7 linked regions of the Oryctolagus cuniculus genome follow. The protein of the gene in region 1 purifies or fractionates together with the protein of each later gene. This does not show direct contact. Links are inferred from orthologs where the notes say so. Each region holds a gene or a part of one and is shown on either strand. Other genes may lie near its edges. The genes, in order: MED9, CCNC, MED13, MED31, MED13L, POLR2B and CDK8.

Region 1 (4,164 bases):
ATTAAACAGATGCGTATTTTTGTGGCAATGTTGGGCTTCCTGAAAGCAGCCCAGGCAGGATTTTTCTGACATATGCTTGCAGCATTACAAAACTTTACTCTTTGTCACTAATTATATGAACTATTTATAGGGCAAATTGTCAATACCCAGTATTTGCTCATGCATCTAACATTTTCAATTTGTGGGTTTTTTTGTTTGTTTTTTAGCCATATCTATTTATACCTGATTTTTTTTTTCTTTTTAAAGGACGTTCTCATTATGATGCCAATGACAAATTCGGGGCTTGTGATCAAACACGCTGGGAGGGGAAAAAAAATGACGCACGTTGCCATGGGGATATTATTGATGACTATTAGATTGCTTCTCAAATTCTGAATAGAAAGCCACGTTAACATTTTGAATCATAAAGTTACAAAACTAGCAGAAGCCTGAGGAACCTGGCTGAGACCATAGGTTTGGCGTTAGGCAAACTGGGTGACCCTAGACCCACACCCATTGTTAAGTCTCAGTTACTTTGTCTTTAAAATGGGGATGCTTTGGAGTTGGCGTCCTAGCGCTGTGGGTTAGGCCAGAGCTTGGGACACCTGCCACCCACACTAGAGAGTTGTTTCAGGTCCCGGCTGCTCTGCGTCCCATCCAGCTCTCTGCGGGACACCTGCCCCCCACACTAGAGAATTGTTTCAGGTCCCGGCTGCTCTGCCCAGCTCCCTGCTAATGAGCCTGGGAGGCAGCAGATGATGGCCCAGGTGCTTGGGCCCCTGCCACCCACGTGGGAGTCCTGGATGGAGTACCTAGCTCCTGGCTTCAGCCTGGCCCAGCCACAGTTGTTGGAGGCATTGGGAGAGAGAAGTATCCGAGAAAAGATTTCCGCGTGTCTATCACTTTGCCTTTCAAATAAAAATAAATTTAAAAATGTTGAACAGTTGTTTTAAAAAAATAAAATAGCGGGTCGAAGCCATGGTGCTGTGGGTTAAGTCGCGGCCTGCAGCGCCGGCATCCCATATGGGCGCCAGTCTGAGACTCGGCTGCTCCACTTCCCACCCAGCTCTCTGCTAAAGGCCTGGGAAAAGCAGCAGCAGATGGCCCAAGTACTTGGGCCCCTGCACCCGCGTGAAAACCCTGAACGAAGCTCCTGGCTCCTGGGTTGGCCCTGGCCCAGCCCTGGCCGTTGAGGTCACTTGAGCTAAATCGCCTGTTTCTGACTAATTTACTTAACTAGACTCGCAACCAAATCCAGCCTACACCAGCCCGCCCACCGCATGTCGCCTAGCAACAGCCTCCTCCCCTCACGCCTGCGCTTTTACCCCGCCCCCTGCTCAGTGCGCATGCTCAGATCCGTGCGTCCGGCCCCGCCCCTGCGAGGCGCTCAGCAGTGACGTGTAGAGTCCGCGACGCTCCCGGCGAGCCGAGCCGGTGAAGTGGGGGAGTTGGCTCGCTGGACCGAGCCCCGGGGCCATGGCCTCGGCCGGGGTGGCCGCTGGGCGACAGGCCGAGGATGCGTTACCGCCACCGGCCGACCCGCCGCTGACCGAGACCAAGCCGTTGCCGCCGCCGCAGCTGCCGCCACCGGTGGCCGCGCCCCAGCCGCAGCAGTCGCCGGCGCCCCGGCCCCAGAGCCCCGCCAGCATGAAGGAGGAGGAGAACTACTCCTTCCTGCCGTTGGTTCACAACATCATCAAATGGTAAGGAAGGGCCCCGGAAGAGGGGGCCCCGCCGCCGCCGCTGGCGCTGGCGCTAGGAGGCTGCAAGGGTGCGTCCCCATTTCTCGGGCGGGCAGGCCGAGGCCAGGGGGTGGGCAGGGGCCTCTCCCGAGAGCTCGCGGCGCCTGTCCGGGCGCATGGGGGCGCCGGGGGGCGCCGTGCTCTATGCGGGGGACACTTGCTCCGAGCTGGCCGGCACAGGTGGCCGGGGGCCTCGGGAGCCTGGGCAGCGTCCCTGAGGCTCCGTAGGGTTAAGACGCGCTCTGGTTTTCTCCTCGTCTTCAGCACATCCCGCAGAGAAACATCGTCGGGACTGCATAGCGTTCTGCTAGGCGTTACGGGGTGCGCACGGTAAAAGGGGCCGACTGCGGGCCGGCCTTGTGGCGTAGCAGGTAAAGCCGTCGCCTGTAGCGCCAGCATCCCGAATGTCTCCAGTTCGAGTCCCGGCTGCTCCACTTCTGGTCCAGCTCTCTGCTGTGGCCTGGGAAAGCAGTGGATGATGGCCCAAGTCCTTGGGCCCCTGCACCCACGCGGGAGACCTGGAAGAAGCTCCTGGCTCCTGGCTTTGTTCGGGCTATTTAGGGAGTGAACCAGTAGATAGAAGATCTCTCTCTGTTACCCATAATTATGTTACCCATAATTCATACAGATTGAGCCTGCAGGGCTGAGATGGCCTGCAGAGACACAGAAATCGCCTCCACCGGGCCTGGACTAACTTGATCCCAGCCTACCTTGAAAGGATATGGCCGTGCTGTTGGCCAGCCCTCAGGGGAGCCCAAGCTTTCGGACAGACAGGCTCTGGAAAGGAAAAAACAAAAACAGACAAGAAACCAAAGTCCCCCCCGTTCCACGCTTGCCTGAGTGAGTACGCCGCTGGCGCTGACGTCACGGAGTGGTGCCTGGGAGAGTGAGGAGGTGCAGCCGAGGCATCGGCCGCTTGCTGCAGGCAGACACGTCCCAACGGGACATGCGTGGTGTTTGGCCTTTCGTGGAAGTAGGAGGAGTACGTTCTGAAACAGCAGTGAGAGGTATAGGACAGCCAATACGAGGATTGTTTTGAAAGTTCACGGAAAAGTGCGTATTATGGAAAGATGTGTATGGGTTTCATTTTATTTTTCAGGGATTGGTTTTACTTATTTGAAAGGCAAAGTGATAGGGAGGCAGAGAGAGAGAGAGATCTTCCATCTGTTGGTTCACTGCCCAAATGGCCACAACGGCCGGCCTGGGCCAGGCTGAAGCCAGGAGCCTGGAACCCCATCCGGGTCTCCCACGTGGGCGACAGGGGCCCCAAGCACTTGGGCCATCCCGGCTGCTTTCCCAGGCGCATTATCAGGGAACTGAATTGGAAATGGAGCAGCGGGGACTTGAGTAGGTCCTCATGTGGGATGCCAGCATCAACGGCTTGTGCCACAATGCTGGCCCCTGAACCAAAATTTTAGTTCCATTTTTCCAGTAACTTTTTTTTTTTTAATTCATTTGAAAGGCAGAATTACAGAGAGGCAGAGAGAGAGAGAGAGAGAGCTTCCACCCAATGGTTCACTCCCCAAATGGCTGCAACAGCCGGAGCTGTGCCGATCTGAAGCCAGAAGCCAGGAGCTTCTTCTGGGTCTCCCAAGCAGGCAGGGGGCCAAGGACCTGGGCCATCTTCTACTGCTTTCCCAGGCCATGGCAGAGAGCTGGATCGGAAGTGGAGCAGCCGGGACTAGAACCAGCACCCATATGAAATGTCGGTACTGCAGGCGGTGGCTTTACCCACTACGCCATAGCGCCGGCCCCGCAGTAACTTTCTGAAGTTCCCTGTATGAGAACTGGCAGTGCAGTCGGTTTCTTTCCGTCGGAGTCACCACGAACAAGGTTGTTTTCAGCCCCGTTTTAATCTCATGCCACCATTCGTCGTGTGTGTAGTCTGTTGTTGGCTGACTCACGACTCAGTGCTAGATGTAAACCCCCAGGCTTGCCACTCGAGCTCAACCATTTAAAACCAAAGCAAGCTAAACTTGACACCACCACCATTGCGGGGGCGTTCAGGTTGAAGGTTGATGGGCTTGCCGATGCTGTGCTGAGATGGAGTCGCTGCTGACAACGTGGACTTTTTTTTTCTTTTAAAGATGTATTTATTTGGAAAGAGTTACAGGGTCCGATGTTACCTGCGGTGCTGCCTTCCCATATAGGCACCGGGTCGAGTCCTGGCTGCTCCACTTCGAATCCAGCTCCCTGCTAATGGCCTGGGAAAGGCAGCAGAAGATGGCTCAAGTGTTTGGACTCTGCTACCCGTGTGGGAGACCCAGAAGAAGCTCCTGGCTTTCACCTGCCCCAGCCCTAGCTGTTATGGCTGTTTGGGGACTGAACCAGCGGGTGCAAGATCTCTCGCTCTGTCTCTCCTCTCTAAGTTTGACTTTAATTAATGAATAAATCTTAAAAAATTTTTTTAAAAAAGGAGTTACAGTGAGAAGAAGAGACAGAG
Region 2 (3,500 bases), on another chromosome or scaffold:
TTTTGTTAATTCGTTGCGACATAGCCTCTAACATCTAGGATTGTATTAAAAGCTACCTAGTGATCACTAAATACTATTGTTAGAAGTCTGTTTCCTGGCAGTGTGGTTTCTACCCTATTTTCTATCTTTTCTACTCAAATTTTGAAAACATTAAAATTAATCCATTACATCTACTTTGGTGGAGAAGAAAGAGCTCATTGGAAAACTATATATGACAGATTTGTAGCTCCCAGTTTTTGAACACATTAACTTAGATAAAGAATACTTAACAGAGAGTTAATACAACATACTACCTCCCATTAAATTGCTAAAATTGTTCTTAGAGGAATATGGTGTATAGTGGTAATTCCTTCATGATTAGAACCTTTATTTATTTATTTATTTAAAATTTATTTATTTGAAAGGCAGAGTTACAGAGGGACAGGCAGAGAGTGGTCTTCCATCCACTGGTTTATTCCCTAAATGGCTGCAACAGTTGGAGCTGAGCCAGTCCAAAGCCTGGCGTCAGGACCTTCTTCTGGGTCTCCCACATGGGTGCAGGGACCCAAGGACTTGAGCCATCTTCTACTGCTTTCCCAGGCTAAGATGTCAGCTGATAGAAGGAATCCAACTATAGTGATAGATAAGGCAGACAAGATACTTCCAAGAGTTCACAGAAAAGTGGAATTAGGGAATGGGCATTTATCCTAGCAGTTAAGATGCTGTGTTCCACATTGGAATGCTTGAGTTTATTTCTTGGCTCTGGCTCCTAACTCCAGCTTCCTACTAATGCAGACCATGGGAGGCAGCAGTGGTGGTTCAAGTAATTGAGTTCCTGCCTTCCCATGGAAGATCAGGATTGAGTTCTTATCTCCCTACTTCAGCTTGATTCAGCCCCAGCCATTGCAGGCAGCTGAGGAGTGAACCATTAGATGGGACCTGTCTCTGTCTTTCAAGTAAATAAAAAAATATTTTTTTAAAAATGGAGTTTAAAGGTAAGGTATTTAGGTACAGAAGAAATTTTGAAATCCACACATGAACTTTTTATACATGCAGAAAGATGAAAGGCTAGGAGGAAAAGCCTAGGTAGTAACATAGTGAAAACTACTGCTTTCATGTTTATCAAGATTATCTAATCTAACCTGAGTAGTTAAGGACAGATACCTCATGTCCTTTTTCTGGGTGTGTTTTTTTTGTTGTTGTTTTTGTTTTGTTTTGTTTTTTTGTTTTTGTTTGTTTGTTTGTTTTTTGGACAGGCAGAGTGGACAGTGAGAGAGAGAGAGAGAGAGAGAGAGAGAAAGGTCTTCCTTTGCTGTTGGTTCACCCTCCAATGGCCGCCGTGGCCGGCGCACCGCGCTGATCTGAAGCCAGGAGCCAGGTGCTTCTCCTGGTCTCTCATGGGGTGCAGGGCCCAAGTACTTGGGCCATCCTCCACTGCACTCCCAGGCCATAGCAGAGAGCTGGCCTGGAAGAGGAGCAACCGGGACAGAATCCGGCGCCCCGACCAGGACTAGAACCTGGTGTGCCGTTGCTGCAAGGCGGAAGATTAGCCTAGTGAGCCGCGGCGCCAGCCCCTTTTTCTGGTTTTTAAGGATGTCTAGAATGTGGTGTTTGTTCTTTGTATACGAAATATTGGTTGTTTTTACCACTGAGAATTTTTCAAATACTTTCTTCTAGATTTTGGAAATTATCAGGGTTATTTTAAAATTATATGAACAGTGGAAGAATTTTGATGAGAGGAAAGAGATGGCAACAATTCTTAGTAAGATGCCGAAACCAAAACCACCTCCAAACAGGTACTTTGTAAACTTTTATTAGTTTCATTTAATCACATATCATACTCATATTTTTCTTTGATTATGTTGTTTTGTATCTTAAAATTTCTACAGAAACTTCATGATTCATGCAAATTTTTTAAATTTGTGACTTGATTGAAAATATCTTGTAAAAATACATTAAATTGATCATCTGTTAGTAACTTTATCTAACACGATGGAGGTCTATTACAGGTATCCCTCAACATATGGCCACATACTATATATAAGTTTAAATGGAACAGAATTAGGCAAGTTCATATGAAATTCAGGGATAGTTATGGAGCAGTTTCATTTCAATTATCTTGTGCTATCTTCCTGCACCGCCCACTTACCATTACTAGCTATTACCCTGTTTTATAAATCATCATAATGGCTTTTAAAAATCTCATTGAATGATCTGATATTGGAAAGAATTTTGGTTTTTGAGTAACACTAAGATCCATAGACACTGTACCATAATTTTCTGTAAAGTGGAACACCTGTGCTAAGAATTTTTTTTTTTTTTTTGGTTATTGTTTTAAATAAGATTTGTTCATTTACTTCAGTGGTTCTCAGCCTTCACCATAAATCAGATCATTTGAGGTAGGGAAAACAGGTCAGGTGGAAAATAAGGAAATGCTACCCATCTTAATCATTTTTCTGGAAAATTAACTAAGTCATATAGGAGGGATCTTCAAAAAGTTCATGGAAAGTGCATATTATAAAAAATTATGCAAAATTTTTTGCACCAAAATAAACTTATACTAACTTATTACAAGTTTGAACAGGATCTTATTTGAGATACTAAGAAGGATAAGACACCAATTTGAAAAGAGCCCCTATTAGAACAACATGAATTCTACAATTGAAGCAAGAAAAAAACATCAAATTGATAGTAAAGCTTGGGTGGAGGAATGGTGAAATCATTGAAACCTTATGAGAATTTTATGGGGTTAGTGCCTCAAAGAAGTAAGCAGTGTACAAATGTATAACTTATTTTAATAAGGGATGAAACTTGAAGATGAAGCGCACAGTGATGGCAGATCATTTATATCCATGTACAAGAAGAAAATTAATCACATTGTGCCCTAATTGAATTGGACCAACAGTTAACAATAGAAACAATAGCCACCACTCCAGACACCTCAGTTGGCTTAGCTTACACAATTCTTACTGAAAAATTAATGTCGAGCAAATTTTGTGCTCAAGAGGTACCAAAACTGTTCTGCCTGGATCAGCTGCAGACTAAAGCAGAGCTTTTAATGGGAATTTTTAAAAAATAGGATCAAGATCTCAAGGCATTTATTTGAAGAACTATAACAGGAAGTGAAACATATATATATACAGTATGACCCTGAAAACAAAGAATAATGGCTACCAAGAGGTAGAGTAGAAGTGGTTCAGTCAAAGCAAAAGTGACCAAGTCAAGAACAAAGGTCATAACCATAGTTTTTTGCTTGTTGACTTTCTAGAAGGTCAAAGAATGATAACATCTCCTCATTATAAGAGTGTTTTGAAAAAATTAGCCAAAGCTTTAGTAGGAGTCTTTAATCAGTCTTTTCCCATTATAACAATGTTCTTGCTCATTCTTCTCACCAAACAAGGGCCTTTTGGAGGGAAATCATAGGCATCCACCTTACAGTGATAAGGTTCCTACTGACTTTTTATTTCCTGATATTAGAACAGTTTTCAAAGAGCACCCATTCTTCAGGTGGTAATGTAACA
Region 3 (3,500 bases), about 31 Mb from region 1:
TAGGATCTAATGTTTTAAGTTATAGAATTCTTGATTTGCTAATAGTTTTAGAAATAAAATAATTTGTAGCTAACCTCTGTAACACCAAGACATAGTTTTCTTGTGTGTGTGTAGCTAAGAAAATGACCAAGTACTTTAGACTTGCTTATAATATCATTGAGCGTCCTTTAGACTTAATCCACAGAGATGCAGAACCAAATTAATTCAGAGGCATTTGGCATTCCAATAATTTGAACCTTATGATAACATTCTACCATTTTACCATTTTGGGTTTTAATTAGCTATTGGTGTAGAAAATATTTTTTCAACTTGTGGTTTAGGAGCCTTTTTAATGATTTGATGGGAATTTGCTACATAATATTTATTGCATTTAATTAGTTGCATCTAGAAAATGTAATTTTATTTTATTTCATGGTAATCATTTATTTAATTTGCATGAAAAAGCTGGTTTACTTTTACAATTCCGTTTTCAATTTCTAGGTGAAAATAAGCTAGTTGATACTAAATTGTTAGCAGGCAGTTTAGGGAGAGTAATTACCAAGAAAGTATAAATTAGATTATTATTTTATTCATAAAGAATTTGAAAAAGAACTAACCAGTGAAATAAAGAATTTAAATACCCTTCCTGTTTTTATCTTTAGGTCCTTATCTTGCTTCGCAGCCACTGGACAGCTCTCTGCTTTCCCAGCCAAATTTAGTTACCCCTCCAAGTCAGTCTTTGATTACACCATCTCAGATGGCAAGTACTGGAAATACTAATACTCCATCAGCCACCCTAGCATCTGCAGCAAGCAGCACTATGACTGTGACTTCAGGGGTTGCACTGCCTACTTCGGTTGCAACAGCTAATTCGACTTTGACCACAACTTCATCTTCTTCATCCTCCAGTTTGAATAGTGGAGCATCATCAAATAAACTACCTTCATTTCCACCCTTTGGCAGTATGAGCAGTAGTGCTACAGGGTCCATGTCTGCACAAGCAAGTGCAGTTCAGAATGGCCAGCTAGGGGGGCAGCAGTCATCAACTCTACAGACAGCTGGGATTTCTGGAGAGTCATCTTCGCTTCCTACTCAGCCACATCCTGATGTGTCTGAAAGGTATCTTTAAAAACACTGATTTTTGCACAAATATAAAAACTATGATTCTTAATTTTTTCTAAATATGAGTTATGAGCATTTTCAGTATCTGCTAAATGGGGTGTAATGTGATATAATATGCATACATTGTGCTTTATGTAATGCTTCCAAGTTTTGTTTTCCTTTTTTTAAAGGTTTATTTATTTGTAAGTCAGAGTTACACAGAGAGAGAAGGAGAGGCAGAGAGAGAGAGAGAGAGAGAGAGAGAGAGAGAGGGAGGTCGTCCATCTGCTGGTTTACTCCCCAACTGGCTACAACGGCCAGAGCTGCGCCAATCCAAAGCTAGGAGCCAGGAACACTTCTGGCTCACCCATGTGGGTGCAGGGGCCCAAGAATTTGGGCCGTCTTCTACTGCTTTCCCAGACCATAGCAGAGAGCTGGATTGGAAGTGGAGGAGCTGGGACTTGAACTGGCCCATATGGGAGGCTGGCACTGGAGGCGGCAGCTTGACCCACTACACCAAAGCCCTGGCCCCTCCAAGTTTTTTTTATAATGACCATAGTGATGACATTTCTCATTCCCTTTTTTTAAAAAGATTGATTTGTTTATTTGAAAGGCAGAGTTAGAAGGGGAGACAGAGCTCCTCTGTCTGCTTGTTCACGCCCCGTATGGCTGCAATGTCCAGGGCTTAGCCACGCTGAAGCCAGGAGCCTGAACTCCATCTTGGTCTTCCTCATGGTAGGAGCCCAAGTACTTGAGTCATCTTTTGCTGCATTTCCAGGCATATCACCAGGAAGCTGGATCAGAAGTAGAGCAACGGACTCAAACCAGTGCTCATATGGGATACTGGCATCACATGTGGCAATTTAACCTTGACGCTACAACACCGGCCCCTCTCAGTCCTTTTATGATGAAAGTATTGAGTGAACTTCCCTTTTAGTTTATAAATTTGGTTAGGCTGAGCATTGTTAAACCTGTCATCTATCCAGGATACAGTTGTTCGCAGAGTTATACTCATATACATCGATAAAAAAGCAGACTATTCCCTATATTAATCCAGCCATCTTAAACATCTAAACAGATTCGAAGTTTAAAAAAAATTAGCCATCAAATAATGTAACTGGTTTACCATTGAAATTACGAAGTATGAAATGTAGTAGAACATTGAATAGATCTGGGAATCTGGTTTTCTTTCTTTCTTTCTTCCTTCCTTTCTTTCTTTCTTCTCTTCCCCCCCCCCTTTTTTTTTTTTTTTTTGAAGATTTATTTGAAAGAGTTAGAGAGAGGGAAAGATAGATCTCCCATCCATTGATTTACTCCCTGGATGGCCATAACGGTCAGGGATGAGCCAGGCTGAAGCTGGGAGCCAGGAGCTTTATCCAGGTCTCCTACATGGGTGGCAGGGGCCTAAGCGGTTGGGCCATCTTCTGCTGTCTTCCCAGGTCACCAGTAGGGAACTGGAGAGGAAGTGCAGCATCTGGGACTCACCTGGCACCCATATAGGATGCTGGCGCTCCAGGTGGTAGCGTTACCTGTAGAACTTGGTTTCTTTCTGATCTTGATTTAGCCAATTTTGTGATTTGGGGCTGCTACTGAGATAGGTCTTAGACAGAGGACCAGTTTTATCCTTTATGCACTAAACTCTCATTTCAGATATACTGCAGTTTTAAGAATTTTATTTCTATTTTCTTCTTATGCTAGTACGTATGTATGTATGTATGGTTCACTGATACTTCCCACCAAAAACAAAAAAAGGGATGGGGGATCAAGAGCCTGCTTTTGAATGCACTCCCAGCAATACAGTACAAGTTTTTGTCTTACTTCTACTTCATATTTTAGCACGATGGATCGAGATAAAGTGGGAATCCCCACAGATGGTGATTCACATGCAATTACCTATCCACCTGCAATTGTTGTTTATATAATCGATCCTTTTACCTATGAAAATAAAGATGAAGGCACTAACTCTTCTAATGTGTGGACTTTGGGACTACTTCGATGCTTCTTGGAAATGGTCCAAACTCTTCCTCCACATATTAAGAGTACTGTTTCTGTACAGGTAAGATTGATAAATATTGTGAGTTAAATATTTGTAAAACAGTTTGCTGTTTGAAAGATACTATTTTTCTGTTTTCAAATTGGTGTTCTGAAAGCCAAGTTCTATTATTGATTTAACTTTAAGTGATATAGATGTTAGCTATGTTGTAATAACATACCTGATGTAAAATATAAAATTCTTGATGATATGATATGTTGTAAAACATGAATTTTACAATCATACCACAATAATAATGAGAAGTAAAAATTGCATATAGTATATAGTATGTTAAATACTGGTCCTGTGTTAACCTTTTAATCCAGTGTTTAAATTCATAAGCCTAAGCAGGTAAACGTAGCATGGACCTGTATAAACTGGAGTTCTA
Region 4 (4,060 bases), about 16 Mb from region 1:
GCTCAAGTATTTGAGTCCCTGCCACCATATGAGAGATGCAAGCTGAGTTCCTGATTCCCAGCTTCTGGCCTGGCGCAGCCATGGCTGCTGTGGGTATTTGGGGAGTGAACCAGCAGATGGGCGACTTCTTTCTCTCCCTCTGTCTGCCTTCCAAATAAAATAATTTTTCAAAAAATTTGAAAAGCTTCACCACTGCTTTCCAACCACCTGGCTAATACTAAGCAAAGTAGTAAGTGCAGCCTTCCGCATTGAAAGGGAATAGGTTTCTGGTCATAATATGCCCCTTGCAAATGTAATTGGCCTTCAAGTCAAAGTGTCTCTGGAACAACTTGAATGGCAAACACACATACACGTAGTTCAAAAAGTTTGTGGAAAAACCTGAATTAAAAGCTTATTTGGATATAAAAAGCTTGTAGTCTATACTTGGTTATTTCATATTACACAATTTTTCAAGAACTTCTGGAAATCCCTTACACATGGACTCCAAAAGTTTTTTGCACCAATACAAACTCGTCTTTTGGATCCATTTTCCATTTACTTTTTGAAGGACCGGCATGTGTACGGAAACAGTTGTGAGTGTGCAGTGTTTTTTAGTTATTGAATGCAAAGCATTTGGGCACAAAGATCGCTGCTGGAAGACACAGTGACATCCTCCACATCTTCCTCACAGGTACTTCTGTGTGATCTTTTATTATCAGTCAATGGCTATGTTGCTGCATGTGAGGACCAGAGTCCTTCAGACCAGAAACCCAGAGAAATGGGGAGACTGGTAGAGAGGAGGTCAAGAAGACTGGGCCAGATGCGGCCGGGCCGCAGACTTCACTGCCAGGAAGGGAGGGCCCCCCAGGTCTAAGGAACAGACAGCATGTTCTAAGCTACAGTTCCCAGGGACCACATCGGCTTCTGGGTAGAAAATCGCGTTGCTTTATTGGCTTTGGGTGAGGTAGTGAGGAAAGAGCAGAAAACAGAGCCAACAGTGAGTGATTTCTGCAGGAATCCAAATTAAGAGGTAGGCAGTGACAACCGAACGCGCAGAACGTGCAGATTCAACATACATTTTTACCAGTGTGAAACTAAGAAGTATTTACGTATCCACGTTTTGGGTTTTAGTAAAACATACATACACCGAGGATTACAAAAAATTAAACTTACTTTAGATACTTGGCATATTCTGGTTCTTTCCAGTACAGCAAGTACTTAAGATAATTAACAAACGCTTTGTCTTTGAAGTAACCTCTTTGAGCAAGAACTGAAAGGCATAAAAAAAAAAACAAAACCTAGGTCAGACGGATGCTTGGACTACCACCAGCCCACAAGTCCTAGTTTGCTCAGTTACAGCTACAGAATTGCTTTAAGTGCAATTCTATTCAATTGAGAATATATAAAAGTAGATACTATTAGGAAATGCAACTCTTGTCAAAAAATCATTAATAGCTATTCAATTTAATTAGGTGAACAACTTACAATTAAGGTAATTTGGGTTGGCTAAACACTGTACAAATTCCAACTCTAACTGAAACCGAAGTCGATTTCCAGCATCATCTAGGAGAGAAGACAGCAAAAATCATCCAAGACAAAGGTCGCTAAATACAACACCGATGGGTCGAAAGGAAACAGCAGCCAGGAAACCTGCGTAATGCTGAGCTACACTTCTGGGAGGCATAATTCCTTAGGAACCTAAGAAAAGGAGAACTCTGATTAAGGCAGCTAGAAACCCCTCTAACGTTGAAGAGAAGTCATCAGAGACAAGGGGAACACAGATGCGGCAGGAGACCTCCCTCGGTGGGTCACTGGAGCCATCTCAGCAGTGAGTGACCGGGTATGGGGTGACAGTCTACCTCCCTGTATTTTATTAATACACTGTAGCTACTGTCGATGGCGGTGAGGAGCTCCGAGTGCGAGCTAGGAGACTGCGGAGCGCCGGAAGACCCCGAATGGCAGCATCAGTGGCAGGATAACGCAAGTTGGTCCAGGGCGCCCCAAACTCATGCAAGCTCCCGCGGAAGCAGACCCAAGTGCTGTCTGGTGACACGACTGTCACTTTCAGCCCCTGTTTATGCTCCTGGTGGTCTTCCTACTTTTGACTGGCTCTATATTACGGTTCGTGGTGAAATAAGCCGTTATTATAGACTGTATCAAATTTATGCCTTGGCAACAAAAAAAATGAAAAGTAGGGGAGGGAACGCGAGTGGGGGGAGGAGGAGAGAGGGAAGTATGGGTCTCCTGGAACTGTACCTATGCAATCTGTTCTCTTTATACTAGTTTTTGTTTTTTTTTTAAAGAAAAGATTCCAGTGCTGTCCCTCAGTCTCACCCACGCTGGGACGAAGGTGGGGTCGCTGAGTGAACAGCAAGCGGGGAGAAAACATGTGCGAAGCCACCAAACTCTGAAAAAGGCAAAGCTGCCGGCACCTTCCCAGATGCTCCAAGAGCCCTCTCGCCTCCCGGGTCCCACTCCAAGCCCCTTCCGTTAGGCCTGAAGGAGGCCCCGGGCAGGCAGGAGAAGGGGTCCGGGCGGAGCGCACGGCTCAGAGCGCGACTCACCTGTCTCCATGGCGACGGCGGCGGCCATAACAAGGAACGACGCGAACTCTCACCAGCTCGGCAGAGACTCTGCCCAGTCTGGCTGGGGAAGTTCCGGAAGCCTCAGCACCCCGCTTCCGGCCCCGGGGCACTGTGGGATACGGGGGCGGGCCCAGCCGCGCTGGGAGGACAGCGGTTCCGCCCATCGCTGCTGGCTCCGCCCGCTCGGGCTCCTGAGCCGGGCGCTGCGGCCCGGGGAGCGCCGTATTTGGAGGTGTTTCACGTCAGCGTGTAGTGGCATTGCCGCCTAGGAGGCAGGTCGCTACTGTGACGTCATTTCTCACCTCGTGACGTAGCGTAGAGGTGTGCTGAGCGGTCCCCTCAACACCTATAGAATGGCCTCGGCCCTTGGGGGAAAGCCGTCCTCACCCCAGTGTGGACACCTCGCCTTCCAGGAAGCGGCGCCCTCGTGCCCTCCCGAGTGCTCAGGGCCTCGTCAAAGCGGCTGGAGGCGAGGCTGCCTACTGTGTCCAGCCGGGTCCCCCAGTCGCCTTTGGCTTCCTGGAGGCAGCCCACATGTCGGTGTGAGAAACAGCCCAGCCGCGGTTCCTGGGTTCCTGCGCGAGCCGCGCCCTGGGCCTCCCCACGCGTGACAAAGCCCGCACGCGGGGCTGACGGGCAAAGAGGCGGAGAGTGGTGGTATAGAGGGATGGACGGGGAAGGCCTTGCTGGTTAGGCCACAGTGGAGCTGAGACCTGTGTGGTGACACCGAGCGCCCCACCCCCACCCGGGGGTCTCAGCGGAGTGCACCCTAGGCCGGAGGAAGAGAAGTGCGAAGGGTGTGTGGGAGCAAGCTTGCAACGTTCCCCGAGAGAAGAAGGGAGAGCTGGGAGCTTCGTGTGTGAGAGGCAGAGAGGGGACGGCAACAGGCAGGACCAGTTTCTAGAGGGCCTTTGAGTCACCACGGGAACTCAGGTTCTAGTCTAACAGGAACACGCTGCATAGTTTTCGGCACAGGACTGACATGATGCAACCGCATTTTTAAAATACCTTCTGCCTTCCGTGTGGGCTGCAGAACAGTTGTTCTCATCCTGGAGGGGGGGGGGAGGATTTTGTCCCCCAGGGGATACTTGGCGATGTTTAAAGACGTTTGTGTTAGGTACAAGGAGTGCTGCTGGCAAGTCGTGGGTAGAGGCCAGGGATCCCAGCACCAAAACCACAGAATCACGGGGCCTAACGTGTCAGTGGTGCCCAGTTGGAGACGCGCTGCAGCTGGGAGAGGAGAGGCCTGGGAGAGGCTCCAGAGGAGGGTGGGAGGCCGTGCCCTCCCCTGGACAGTGTGTGTGTGTGTGTGGGGGGGGGGTGTCTGTTGCTTTTTGACCCTGCCTTGCAGTCAGTGATTTACCCAGCAGGACAAAGGGGTCTTCCAGCAGGCCAGCGATGGCCCAATTGTGTCTACTACTGGGAGCAGAACATCTGCCATTTCCAGTCCATACTCGGGCTCCTACATGTAAAGGCAGGGCAGTGAACCGGGCCAT
Region 5 (4,130 bases), on another chromosome or scaffold:
AGTTATAACAGACCCAGCATGGAGCAAGAGCTCAGGGGACGTTTATGCAATGAATGAATGAATGCACACAGGAACTAGGATCCCCGCGCTCCAGCATGTCTGTATTGAACGCACAGGGCCTGGCGTACAGTACGAGCCTGGCTGCACTGCACGCTGGTGGCAAGGGTTCGAATCCCAAGACCTCGGGCAAGTGACTTGAGCTCCCTGTGCTTTGACTTCCCCCTCGGCAAAAGGCGTAGAGGCTTCGATGGACACTCCGAAGCACTTGGACCCTCTGCCCGGCCCACGGGAGCCCTCGTCACACCGGCTGGCCTGGGCGGTCGGCAGCACCGGCGAGGGCCGCGGGGCTGCAGCTACACCAGGTCCGCTCGGGGCCGGCGATCGCGCCCCCAACGCGCCAGGATCCGCGCCCCGCGAGAGCGCGCGGCCGCCCACGGCAGCCTCGGGTCGGCTGCCCGCCGCCCGCCACGGGAGCCGGCCGCCTGCACTTCTTTCTTTCCTTCTCCGGCTCCCTCCCTCTTCCCGGCCGGAGAACGCGGCTGCTCTCGGCTCAGCAGCGCCTCCCGCGAGCCGCCGCCGCCGCCGCCGCCGCCGCCGCTCCGGGCCCCTCCCCCGCCCGCCCCCCGCCCCCCCGCGCGGCCGGCGCCCGTCACGTGACGCAGCGGCAGCCAATGGCGAGCCGAGCCGCGGTCGGCGGCCGCCATTGCTGTCAGAGCGAGCGAGCCCGGGGAGGGAGGAGAAGCGAGGCTGACTGGGGAGGAGGGGGGGGTGGGGGAGGAAGAGGAAGGAGGGGACGTCGCTCGGCTGCCGGGGTCGCCCGCTGGCTTCGTCCGCACCCCCCCCTTCGCGAGTTCGCGCTCCGCGGCGGCGGCGGCTCCGAGGCGGCGGCGGCGGCGGCTCCGGGGCTCGCCTCCCCTCACGCGCCGGCGGGGCCCGAGGGGGAGTCGGTGGCTGGAGATAAACAAGGCGGCGGCAGCGGCGGCGGCTGAGGATCAGGGAAGGCGGAGGCGGCGGCCGGCCCGTAGCGCCGGCCCGGGAGGCAGCGGCGGCCCTGAGAGGCGGGGAGGGCGCCGGGCCGCGCGGACAGCGCCCCCCGCCGCCGCCGCAGCCGCCGCCGCCGCCGCCGCCCGAGCAGGAAGGAGCCGCGCGGCCGCCGCGGACCCCCCCGCCGGCCCGGGCCCGCCGCCCCCGGCGCGGCGTCGCCGCGGCGCCTCCCGCCCGCCCGCCGGCCCTCCCGCCCTCCTCCTCCTCCTCCTCCTCCTCCTCCTCCGGCGGCGGCGGCGGCCCGGCCGCTCCGCGCTCCCCGGCGAGGCGCCGCCGCCCGGCCCGGCCTCGCCTCGGACGCCTCGCTCCGACATGCCCCGCTCTGGCGGCCGGGCTCGCGGAGGATCATGACTGCGGCAGCGAACTGGGTGGCGAACGGGGCGAGCCTGGAGGATTGTCACTCCAACCTCTTCTCGCTGGTGAGTAGCCGGGCCGTGGGGAGGGGGCAGGCCGGGGGGGGGGGGTCTCCGACCTCCGCCGCCGACCAACTTTCTCCTCCCGCCGCCGGGACTTCGCCCCTCCCTCGCCTCTCCCCGCCGTTCGCCTCTAGCTGATTCTCCCCCTTTTGGATCGTCGCTCCCTCGCCTTGGATCCCATCCAGTGTTTATTTGGCTCTTTAAAAATCATTTGTGAGCGCAGCGCTCGGCGTGGAATTTGCATGTGGAAGTCTCCAAGCTGCGGATTCTGGGTCGCACTTCGAACGCCCACCCTCTGTTGCAATCACACCCCCCTTCCCCTCCCCTCTTCCCCGTTTTTTTTTTTTTTTTTTTTTTTTCCCCCTCTCCCTCTCCTCTCCCTTCCTTCCTAAACGTGGAAGGCTTTGCCTGGTGCTCCCCGCGCCTGCCATCAGCAGCAGCCTTTGCCCCTCTTGTCGGATCGGCCGCCCGCCTGCCTTTTGAATTTTTTTTTTTTTTTTAAATTCCATAATGACAGCCGCAATTTCGCCCGAAAGCAGTTGATTGAATGCGATTGTGTGGCTAAAGGACCGTCGCCCCCGGAGCTCCGGCGCTCGTAAACACGGACCTGCCGGCCGCCTCCCGGGGCTCCCCGCGCCGGAGCCCCGAGAGCCAGGCCCCCGAGCCGACGGAGGGCGGAGAGAGCGTCTCCTCCCTCTCCCCCTGTGTCTTCTAAAAACTGTTTTCTCTCTGCTGACAACAAATCCACACACACACACACACACAAAAGCAACAAGCTGGGCGGTGTGATAACATCGCTTTTATCTGCCTTCGCCTCTCGCGCTCTCGCTCTCTGATAATTGACAACTTTTCCTCTGGATTTGCATCGCCTGCCTTAATCTTGAAGCAGTTAGGGTGTCAATTGTTCTCGCGGAAGCCCGGCACCCGACGACGGCGTCTGGATCCATCGAAATTAAAAATGTATAGGGCTCCGGCAACTCTTTCCTGGCGGTGGCAGTGACATTTGGTGGTAAATGCCATCTTTGCTTTTTATTGGGTCGTATTACCTAGCTCCGAAAACATTCACGTTGTTCAACCTGGTGTTTAGACTAATAATTGCAATGCGTGGTCTTTAAATGTGTGCTTTGTGCATGAGTTACTGTATGTATAGCTATGTGCCCGGGAGACTACGAATTTGTTTAAATATTGAGCAAAGATTTGTAAACAGATGTAAGGCAATTATGTTTCAAGCGTAGAATATAATTGGAAAATTGGCAGAACGGTTTATTTAATTTAACCTTAAAAAAAAAAAACTTATTTTAAGTTGTGTACCCTGTTTTTTTGAGGGGGGGCCTCTGGACTCTTGGAGAGCATGCATTTTGGAAATTATTTTCTGTAACCCCTGCTGTAGATAGAAGCATTATTTCCTCTTAATCCTTGTTTATGCTGGGTAAATAATTTAGTGTTCAAATTGTAATTAGTTACATTTAATTATGGGTGGCATAGATGCTTTTTTCCCTTTGAGAATAGTGGGGAAATAGAAAATCTTGCCAACTTTTCAAGTGGAAGTATTATTTTATTAAATACATTACAGTATTTATACAGATAAAAACATCACATGTGATTTTCTGTCTACAAACATGGAATGACATAGTGTTGTTTCCACTGTGGTGTGGGATCACCTTAAGTTTTTTCTATCATCAAACATTTTTATCCAGATATTTAATCTTAACATTGAATTGCAAGCTGTGAATCTTCTCTCAGCACTGTGAGAATTTTCCCTTGATCTTTTTGTGTGTGGGAATAAAACTCACTTTGCCTCTTTTCCTCTTCTGTCTTCCTCTCAATCTATCATTTGGTATGAGGTTGAGGGACTTTCATAGATTAGCAAATGTATTGATTAAGGGGCATTTAAAATGGTTTTTGTTTGGCGGCTGGTGACCACATTGACACTTTTACAGGTAATTAAAACAACCAAGTAGACGGATATTAGTGAGGAGAGAGTGCCCACATTACCATGTATCATGCTGACTGGTAATGGCTTGTGTGTATGTGGCTAATTTCTACATGCACTGGATTTTGTAGACAGATGAAAGTGTATGATTTGTACAGTCTCTAAGGTGTATCATTTCTTTCACTTTCTAATAGAGCGTAAGTAAGAATGATAATGTTACAGAGATAAGATGCTTGAGATTCTTGTGGAGAAACTGAGTGTTTTAGGAGGGGATTCTGTACTTCTACTGACTCAAGTTTTGTGTTTTGGGTTTTCTTCCTTAAACTTCTTTACCCAAGGAATTATTTCTTGAATGCATTCTTTTTTAAAAATAGAATTGTCTTTGGGTAGTAACTTTGAAATGCAGAACCACAGAAATGCTAAACGTGATTTTTTAAAAAGAACTTTATAATGTGCCTACATTCCCTTATACATGGAGGGTGGATAATGTGCAATTTAAAAAAAAATTCTGAATTAAGCTGCTGACTTGTAAATTTTTCTAGTTCGAAATTGAGCATTTTTCTTGAAAATCATGTACAGCAACAGTCTGGGATATTAAAAATGTTACCTAAAATACATTGTATAGTACAGTTAATTACAAAGGAGATGTGATCATACCTGTCCATGTGTTTAATAAGAGCAAATATGAGAATATATTGTTGGGCCCAGTGTTTTCTTTTTTATTTGATTGCTTTTGA
Region 6 (4,207 bases), on another chromosome or scaffold:
GCAGGTCCACCTTGTTCCCCAGCACGATCAGCTGCTTGGGGCCCACCAGCGCGGGGAGGTGGCGCAGCAGCGGGTCGGGCAGGTCCAGCAGGTCCAGCAGGTAGAGCACCAGCGCGGGCCCGGGCCGCCGCAGCGCCGCGCTCACCTGCTGCAGGTACTGCGCGCGGCTCACGCGCAGCCGCAGGGCGCGCCGGTGGTGCACCAGCAGCCAGCAGCGCTGGCACACGGCGCGCGCCAGCTGGCCGTCCTGCGCGGCGCGGGCGAACTTCTCGCTGGGCAGGTAGCCGGGCACGCCGGGGTCCCGGCAGTGGAGCTCCGCCCCGCAGCCCGAGCAGGGCAGGCCGCTGGGCGGCACCGCCGGGTCCGGGCGGCCCGCGGCCGGGGGCGCGCGGAGGCTGGCCCGCGCCTGCCGCCGCTCCGCCCGGCGCCGCGCCTGCTCCTCCTGCTCCTGCTCCCGCTCCCGCAGCGCCCGCAGCAGCTCCTCAGGCGTCGGCGGGGGCTCCGGCTCCGGGGTGTACTCGGGGAACAGGAAACGCTCCTCGGTGTCGTCCCCGGGCGCGGCGGGGCCTTGAGGGAGCGCCCGCCGCAGGCCCGACGGGGGCTGGGAGGCGGCGGCGGCCGCGCATCCCGTCCGCAGCAGCCGCACCGCAGGCGCGGACCACCGCACCACGGGGCCCAGCAGCCTCCCCGCTAGGCGTGCGGGCAGCATGGGGATCGCGGCCCGCCGCGAGGGGGCGGAGCCACCACCGAGCACGCGCAGTGGGGCCCCAGGCGCCCGTTCTGCCCCAAACCCCGGAGGTGCGGCTTCCTTCCACCTCGAGATCCCGCGAGTTATCGCGATGAAAGCGTAGCGGGAAAGCCGCGGTATCAGCCTCCCTTGAGGGCACAGGTTCGAGTCCCGGCTGCTGCACTTGCAACCCGGCTCTCTGCTGGGGCCTCGGGAAGGCAGCAGAAGATGGCCCAAGTCCTTGAGGCCCCTGCACCCACGTCGGGGACCGGGAGGAAGTTCCTGGCTTCAGCTCCGCGGTTGTTGCGGCCACCTGGGGGAGTGAACTAGCGGTCGGAGGACCTCTCTGCCTCGTTGTAAATCTGCCTCTCAAATAAATAAATAAATCTTTCTTCAAGCTTTCTCAAGGCGCTACGGCCAGCACAAGTCGCACTTAATCCCTTTTAGTTTTGTGGCTTCCTGGTCTTTGGAGTGCAAACAATACAGCCTTAAACCTGCGAGCTCACGCCACGGCCAGAACCGCTAACAAATTCACTTGGATTTTTTTCAGGCGGGGTTTGTTCAACGTGAAGCAGCTGTAGAGCCGCCCCTCCGCCTCGGACTGGTCGCGCCCCGGCTCAGCCGCGCCCGAGCGACCCCGAGCCCAGCCCGCCCTATGCTTCAACTGGCGCAGGCGCAGATCCCACCTCGGCGACGGTGGGGCGGGCCTTCGGGGACGCAGAGAATTGTGGGAACACCGGAACCGGAAGTTGCTTCGTCTCTGCCTGCGGCCCTGTGGCGGCTGCTACGCGGTTTTCTGTCTCAGTGGTTTTTCTTTTTGAGGGTTAGGATCTCCTGGACCGTTTGCCAACATGTACGACGCGGACGAGGGTAGGTGACCATGCAACGCAGACTCCGCGGCGGGAAAATGGGGGAGCTGGACGGCTTTGCGTCCGCCGCCCGGAGACCCCCGCGGTGTACCCCCGCCACCCCCGGGCCGCGGTCCGAGCTGGGCGTGCGGGAAGTGGCGGCGCGGGGGATGCGCGCGTGCAGGCTCCTGGCCGGCTGTGTTCGTCCCGTGGTGGAGTGGCGTGCGGAACCGTAGGCAGATGGCGTTGTTCCGGCTCGGGGGCGTCCCGACGGTCCTCGGGTCCCCGGGCCACCGATGGACGGAGTGGCGCTGGCCATCCGTTAGGTTGTGTGCTGGGCCCTGGGAGCACGGCGGCCGCGGGTGGCCCTCCTCCGTGCAGTCCTAAACCTCGGGGAATTGTCTCGAAGGTGTCCTTGGAACTGACTGCGCCCCAGAGGGACGCGCGGCCGCCAGAGAGGTGTTCTGGCTCCCAGTCCCGTAGCCCCCCTGGCATCCCACCCGCTCGCCTCCGCTGCCTCTCGGAGGAAGCAGAAGCGCAGGCTTAGCGTCTCAGCGCCGGGGCTCATCGGACCCACCAGCTGTCCGGTTTGAACCGCGTCCACGCAGGTAGCTGCTGGTACAGATTCTCCTGCTCCAAGGTTTCTTTACGTACGTGTGAGTGAGCGTAAATGGGATTGTGTGGTTCCCCGATTTTCAGACAAAAAGCACCATTCGTGCTCTCCTGTATTTCTATTTCTTACATAGTATTATGTAGTGGGCTTTCCTGCCAGTGTGTGGAGTCCATCGTCACTGCTCGCTTGTTTAGATGTAGTGCGACTCAGCCAGTCTCTTAGGGATGGGCATTTGCATCATTCTCGTCTTTTCCTGGGAGGGCAGTGGAGGACGGCCCAGTGCCTGGGCTCCTGCATCCGCGCGGGAGACCCGTAAGAGGCTCCTGGCCCCGGGCCTGCCCAGCTCCGGCTGCTGCAGCCATTGGGGGAGTGAACCAGCGGATGGAAGCCCTTTCTCTTTCTGGAACTGCCTTTTAAGTAAATAAAAAATATTAAAAAAAAAATCGCTAAATAGAGAATTGTCAGGTCAAACGGTATATTCATTTAACATTTTGCAGGATGGTGCCAAGTGACCACTGTGCTATTAACTGCGAATTTACATTCTCATTAGCAACGTATAAAGTACCTGTGGAAGAGAAGAGTGGTCCATGTTCCATTCCTGCCTGTTCTGAAGTCTGTTAGATACGCCCTCATCAATTAGGCTGCTCCTTTCGGATGTTGCCATGTGAAAGTGTCAGATCTCTCTTGGCACCTGCAAAGAAGTTAAACTCTGCTCAGTTGTTTCTTTCCTGGGAATATCTGACCTTTCTCCTTCCATGGGCGACCGGGGTTCTCAGAAGAGTTTGTGGCCTCTCAGGTTTTCAGCACATTCTAATCTGATCTCAGTGCTGCTTCATTAAGATGCCCTTCCCACTGATACAGCCGGTAGCACTGTGTAAGCCTCAGGCAGGCCCTGCGGTATTTAGCATCATGGGTGAGTTCCTTTTGGCAGCCCATCTCCTCAGCCTTAGCACCGTCACTTGATTCTTACACCTATCAGACTTTGTCCCTTCTCATTCACTCCTGCTGTTCGCGTTTTCCGTGGCTTCAGTTACTGTGTATGTGGATGACGTCTCAATACATACGCACACATTCCCAGCTCAGATGTCCTGCGTCTCTAACTGAAGTGTCTCTGGGCTTCTGTAAATTGTCACTGCCCAGGCTGAGCTCACCATGTTTTTTATGCACCCCCGCTCCCATCATCATCTGCACTTCCAAAGCCATCGGCTTCTGGGTTGTCTGTCTTAGAGCATGGTACCACCCTTCTCTTTTGTGGGAACCAGAAACCTGGGCGTCATGTATTTTTATTTAAAAGTATTTTGATTAACACATAATATTTGTACATTGTGTGCAGTGCCAAGCAGTGTTTCAACACATATATGTAGTGTAAACTGATAGTCAAGCAGTTAGCATTTCCATGTCCTTATGCTTAGAACCTATCAGATCCTCTGTCCTGTTTATTTAATTTTTTTTTTTTTTTTAACAGGCAGAGTGGACCGTGAGAGAGACAGAGAGAAAGGTCTACCTTTTGCCGATGGTTCACCCTCCAATGGCTGCCGCGGCTGGCGCGCTGCGGCCGGCGCACCGCGCTGATCCAATGGCAGGAGCCAGGTGCTTCTCCTGGTCTCCCATGGGGTGCAGGGCCCAAGGACTTGGGCCATCCTCCACTGCACTCCCTGGCCACAGCAGAGAGCTGGTCTGGAGGAGGGGCAACTGGGACAGAATCCGGCGCCCCGACCAGGACTAGAACCCGGTGTGCCGGCGCCGCAAGGCGGAGGATTAGCCTAGTGAGCCACGGCGGCGCCGGCCCAGTGATAGACTTTCTACATGAGTGACATTAACTCAGTCAGTTGAGCCATCACTGCTGCCTTCCAGGATGTGCATTAGTAGGAAGCTGGAGTTAGGGGTCAGGGCCAGGGACTGAGCCCAGGTACTCTGATGTAGGATGCAGGTGTTCTAACCAGCATCTTACCCCAGGCCACACACCTGCCCCTCGTTGAGTTCTTTATGTAGTATACAATATATAATTTTTAAAAAAGA
Region 7 (3,500 bases), on another chromosome or scaffold:
GCAGAAAGAGCACGGAAGGAGAATGGAGGACACAGCTTTGTGTCACTGGGAAGGATAATCTCAAGATTTCTACTTTGAGGAATTGACAAAATAGAGAAATCGGGGCAAGGAAAAAGTAAGGAGGAAATTCCATTTAGGAATTTAAGTAGACATTTAGTTTACATTATGTGATGTCTATGGAGGACAGTTAGCAAATATTTTTACCAGTGACTTCAAAGAAAAGCAAACCATGAAAGGCCAATTAAAAGTGAAAGGTGCTTGTCACAGTGCTGCTTGCCTAGTGGGCTTTCATTAAAAGTCTTTGGTATTGATGGAGAAAGCAGGTGATCTGACATGAGTTGTTGGAGCAACTCTTAAGGCCAGCAAACCTGGCTGAAACATTTTGTTCTTAAAATTTATTTAACAACTTTTGTTTTACTTAACACCCCAAAAATTATTTAGTAGCTAGGAGTTTTTATTTAGTGTCGGGTAATGTTAATAAAAAAAACCAAGATACCAGCCGATTATTAATATTACTATTTCCATCCTACACCCAGTTCTACTGCAAACAGTTATTACTGGCTATATTGATTGCTGATGTAAATAAGGAAATTGCTGATTTGCCAAGAAGTGTGGTGGAAAAGGAAAAAATAAATTATTATACTAATAGAAATAGAACTTTTTAATAATAAATAGAAATACTTATAATATTCCTTCCTAGTTATAGTAATTGAGGCAACTTAACAATAAATCATATGGAAAGCAAACAATTTAAAAATTTAAAAGATGAACAGATATAAAAGCTATTTGAGCGGATGAGGAATTGTATTTACAGTTCAAGATGTTTATTGTAGCTGAACATTTATTTGAACTCTGAGCTTCCAGAGAGGCTAAAAGAACTGGAAATATAGTGAAAATGGAGGTAATCTATATTGAAATTCTAAAGAATAGGAACCTAGGCAACATAAAAATTTATCAATGTGTTTCACAGATAAAGATTGGGAAGATATAAAAAAGATGCCCGAACATTCAACATTAATGAAAGATTTCAGAAGAAATACGTAAGTTGGAAAGAAAATAGACATTTGTTGGTTTTTGCTTCTCCAGAATACTCAGTTTAAGATAGAACACTCAACATACTCAACATAACATTACTTCAATAAGTAACTTAATTTATTTACTCTAGTAAATATTTTTCATAGCAGTCTTCATAAGATGATTAAAAATTATATGAAAAAATGACTAATAGAGCCAATTTAGATACAGAGGGAGAAGTCAGTTCTTTTCTTTCCGATATTTACTACTTTCTGGAAGCTAGATATTAGTGAAAAATATCACAGCTAAAGAAGTAAGGAACTAAAATAAACCTTAGCAGTTACTCACCTAGGTTGTATAGTCATTTTAAGCAAGTTTTAATACAGAAGAATTATTATTTCAGTTATTTACAAAGCAAGGCCAATGGTTGGGACAGCTTGGTTTGTAAACCTACAGCAAAGGTATTTTAAAGTTACTGGTAAGGCTGAGTTAAACTTTTGACCCAGATGTTGTCTAAAATAATTAAGATGTGATTCATGTGAAAACAGCTACTCAGTATATATTATTCATGGAATTATCTTGCATTTAATCATTGGCATCCATTCAAAAAGTGACTAGTATGGGTATTGAATGAGTTATAAAATTGATTTAATGCTTTTTTTATGCTGATCAGTTATGATCAAAGTAATTCTCTTTGGAAGGACTTGAGCCAATGTAAAATTAACCTCACATCTAATACAGATATTTCATAGTATTTCTCTTTCAGGTATACCAACTGCAGCCTTATCAAGTATATGGAAAAGCATAAAGTTAAACCAGATAGTAAAGCATTCCACTTGGTAAGCTTTAAATAACAATGCTAATGAAATTCATTTTTTCCCCAATTGACTACCACCACCTGAGACTTTTTTGGGTCAGTTTATATGGTTGATTAGTACTCCTGGAGTACTTTAATCATAAATGCAAAGATCTTGTGTTAGTAAAGACATCAAAAAAAATTTGCTTTTCCAAACCTGTATTATGACCTGACAGACTAATGTTTTGTCATATTAGATTTTCTAAAGGTAGTAATTATGACAATTCTGTGAAGAGCACTAAAAGTTGTATTTAGTGTTTTTCATCTGTTATTTTTAAATTTCAAAAATCTCAGGGATGTATAAAAAAAAACAGTTCCACCTTCTGAAATAATTTCTGCAAACTATTTGGTATTTCAACTCTTGAAAGAATGTTTACAGAATTTTTAACTCCGTGATACTTTTATAAACCTGTGCATTAGATATGCCTCAGGGATGATATGTATTACATGCTTTTTCTGGAAGAGTGTGAGAGATGCAGTATTTCTCTATGTGTAATGGAAAGGTAGTTTGACCTAGAATGTGTATGAATCTGAACACTAGCAAAGTAATTTGTGATGAGATCATATTCAGTGATTGACAAATTCAGTTTGTTTGCAGTAAAATTTTGTCACCAAGATGTTTTTCACTTTTATGTTTTTAAACTTTTATAACATAATGAGGGGAATTTGTAGAAGCAAGTTATATTTTGCTTGGCTTGAAATTTTTTTAATCCTTTTTCCTGTTTTTTTTTTGTTTTGTTTTGTTTTGTTTTGTTTTTTGTAGGGGCATGTGGGAGGGGGCAGACAGTGTAGAGATTTCAAGAGAGAACTCCTATCCATTAATTCACTCCCCCAAATGCCTGCAACAGCCGGGGACTGGGCTGGGCTGGAGCCAGGAGCTGGAAACTCAACGTAGTCTCCCATGTGGGTGGCAGAGACCCAGTTACTGGAACCCTTGCTGCTGCTTCCTAGGGCCTGCATTAGCTGGCAACTAAGGTCAGGGTCTGGAGGCAGGCATTGAACCTAGGTGTTCTGATATGGGGTGTGGGAATCTGAATGCTAGGCAAAATGCCTGCCCCTCAAGTATTTTTAAATGGAAATTCCTTTATCTTGAAAACATGAAATGTTTCCTTTATTGCAACCAGGTCGCTTGGCAAGCATTTCTTGTATTTCTGCTTCTGTTTTATTGTCTTCCTCTACTTCTGATTTTAGAACTTATTTTATCATGTCATATTTTATATCATATATTTCATACCTTATTAGTAATTTGAAAAGCAATGCTTAAACTGTCATATTACCACACATTGTACTATTCAAATCATTTATTCTGATGTACTTAAGACAAGACAATTGGAAGGCTAAGTTAGATCCTTCAAAATCAGACTTTTTAATTCTAACAAAATGATGATAGTGGTGGTAGACTAAAAGTCATGACATAGAGGAATTTCTCTGACTTTTCCCTAATTCCCTACTACTCATTAAAGTCTGAAATGACTCAAAACCATCACCACTGAAAATCTAGAGGTATACCTTATTGCTTTAACTGTTTTGCTTATTAATCCTGGCATGACCTATCTTAACTGTTGATAATCTTGAATGGTCCCATCTGAAACTCTATTGCAATCCATTAAAATTATTGGGTACTTTAAAT

What was found.
Region 2: the proteins of MED9 (region 1) and CCNC purify together in Homo sapiens (affinity purification with mass spectrometry; 4 studies listed by BioGRID and IntAct, counting the BioPlex papers as one, with this or other methods). This does not show direct contact. The link is inferred for Oryctolagus cuniculus from reciprocal best matches to the Homo sapiens genes MED9 and CCNC.
Region 3: the proteins of MED9 (region 1) and MED13 purify together in Homo sapiens (affinity purification with mass spectrometry; 6 studies listed by BioGRID and IntAct, with this or other methods). This does not show direct contact. The link is inferred for Oryctolagus cuniculus from reciprocal best matches to the Homo sapiens genes MED9 and MED13.
Region 4: the proteins of MED9 (region 1) and MED31 purify together in Homo sapiens (affinity purification with mass spectrometry; 4 studies listed by BioGRID and IntAct, with this or other methods). This does not show direct contact. The link is inferred for Oryctolagus cuniculus from reciprocal best matches to the Homo sapiens genes MED9 and MED31.
Region 5: the proteins of MED9 (region 1) and MED13L purify together in Homo sapiens (affinity purification with mass spectrometry; 5 studies listed by BioGRID and IntAct, with this or other methods). This does not show direct contact. The link is inferred for Oryctolagus cuniculus from reciprocal best matches to the Homo sapiens genes MED9 and MED13L.
Region 6: the proteins of MED9 (region 1) and POLR2B purify together in Homo sapiens (affinity purification with mass spectrometry; 4 studies listed by BioGRID and IntAct, with this or other methods). This does not show direct contact. The link is inferred for Oryctolagus cuniculus from reciprocal best matches to the Homo sapiens genes MED9 and POLR2B.
Region 7: the proteins of MED9 (region 1) and CDK8 purify together in Homo sapiens (affinity purification with mass spectrometry; 10 studies listed by BioGRID and IntAct, counting the BioPlex papers as one, with this or other methods). This does not show direct contact. The link is inferred for Oryctolagus cuniculus from reciprocal best matches to the Homo sapiens genes MED9 and CDK8.

The regions. Positions count from the first base shown.
Region 1 is NC_091448.1:66,357,103-66,361,266, forward strand, and holds the start of MED9 (mediator of RNA polymerase II transcription subunit 9), read left to right. Parts: upstream 1-1,364; 5' UTR 1,365-1,455; coding exon 1,456-1,682; intron 1,683-4,164.
Region 2 is NC_091436.1:72,185,563-72,189,062, forward strand, and holds part of CCNC (cyclin-C), read left to right. Parts: intron 1-1,656; coding exon 1,657-1,775; intron 1,776-3,500. UniProt on the Homo sapiens protein: Component of the Mediator complex, a coactivator involved in regulated gene transcription of nearly all RNA polymerase II-dependent genes.
Region 3 is NC_091448.1:35,500,617-35,504,116, forward strand, and holds part of MED13 (mediator of RNA polymerase II transcription subunit 13), read left to right. Parts: intron 1-641; coding exon 642-1,098; intron 1,099-2,916; coding exon 2,917-3,136; intron 3,137-3,500. UniProt on the Homo sapiens protein: Component of the Mediator complex, a coactivator involved in the regulated transcription of nearly all RNA polymerase II-dependent genes.
Region 4 is NC_091448.1:49,926,708-49,930,767, reverse strand, and holds the start of MED31 (mediator of RNA polymerase II transcription subunit 31), read right to left. Parts: upstream 2,801-4,060; 5' UTR 2,572-2,800; coding exon 2,544-2,571; intron 1,543-2,543; coding exon 1,465-1,542; intron 1,250-1,464; coding exon 1,153-1,249; intron 1-1,152. UniProt on the Homo sapiens protein: Component of the Mediator complex, a coactivator involved in the regulated transcription of nearly all RNA polymerase II-dependent genes.
Region 5 is NC_091452.1:12,779,944-12,784,073, reverse strand, and holds the start of MED13L (mediator of RNA polymerase II transcription subunit 13-like), read left to right. Parts: upstream 1-1,330; 5' UTR 1,331-1,391; coding exon 1,392-1,463; intron 1,464-4,130. UniProt on the Homo sapiens protein: Component of the Mediator complex, a coactivator involved in the regulated transcription of nearly all RNA polymerase II-dependent genes.
Region 6 is NC_091439.1:107,684,745-107,688,951, reverse strand, and holds the start of POLR2B (DNA-directed RNA polymerase II subunit RPB2), read left to right. Parts: upstream 1-1,407; 5' UTR 1,408-1,578; coding exon 1,579-1,597; intron 1,598-1,984; exon of another isoform or gene 1,985-2,183; intron 2,184-4,207. Other genes in the region: NOA1 (nitric oxide-associated protein 1), read right to left, coding at 1-709. UniProt on the Homo sapiens protein: Catalytic core component of RNA polymerase II (Pol II), a DNA-dependent RNA polymerase which synthesizes mRNA precursors and many functional non-coding RNAs using the four ribonucleoside triphosphates as substrates.
Region 7 is NC_091440.1:96,689,384-96,692,883, forward strand, and holds part of CDK8 (cyclin-dependent kinase 8), read left to right. Parts: intron 1-970; coding exon 971-1,040; intron 1,041-1,780; coding exon 1,781-1,853; intron 1,854-3,500.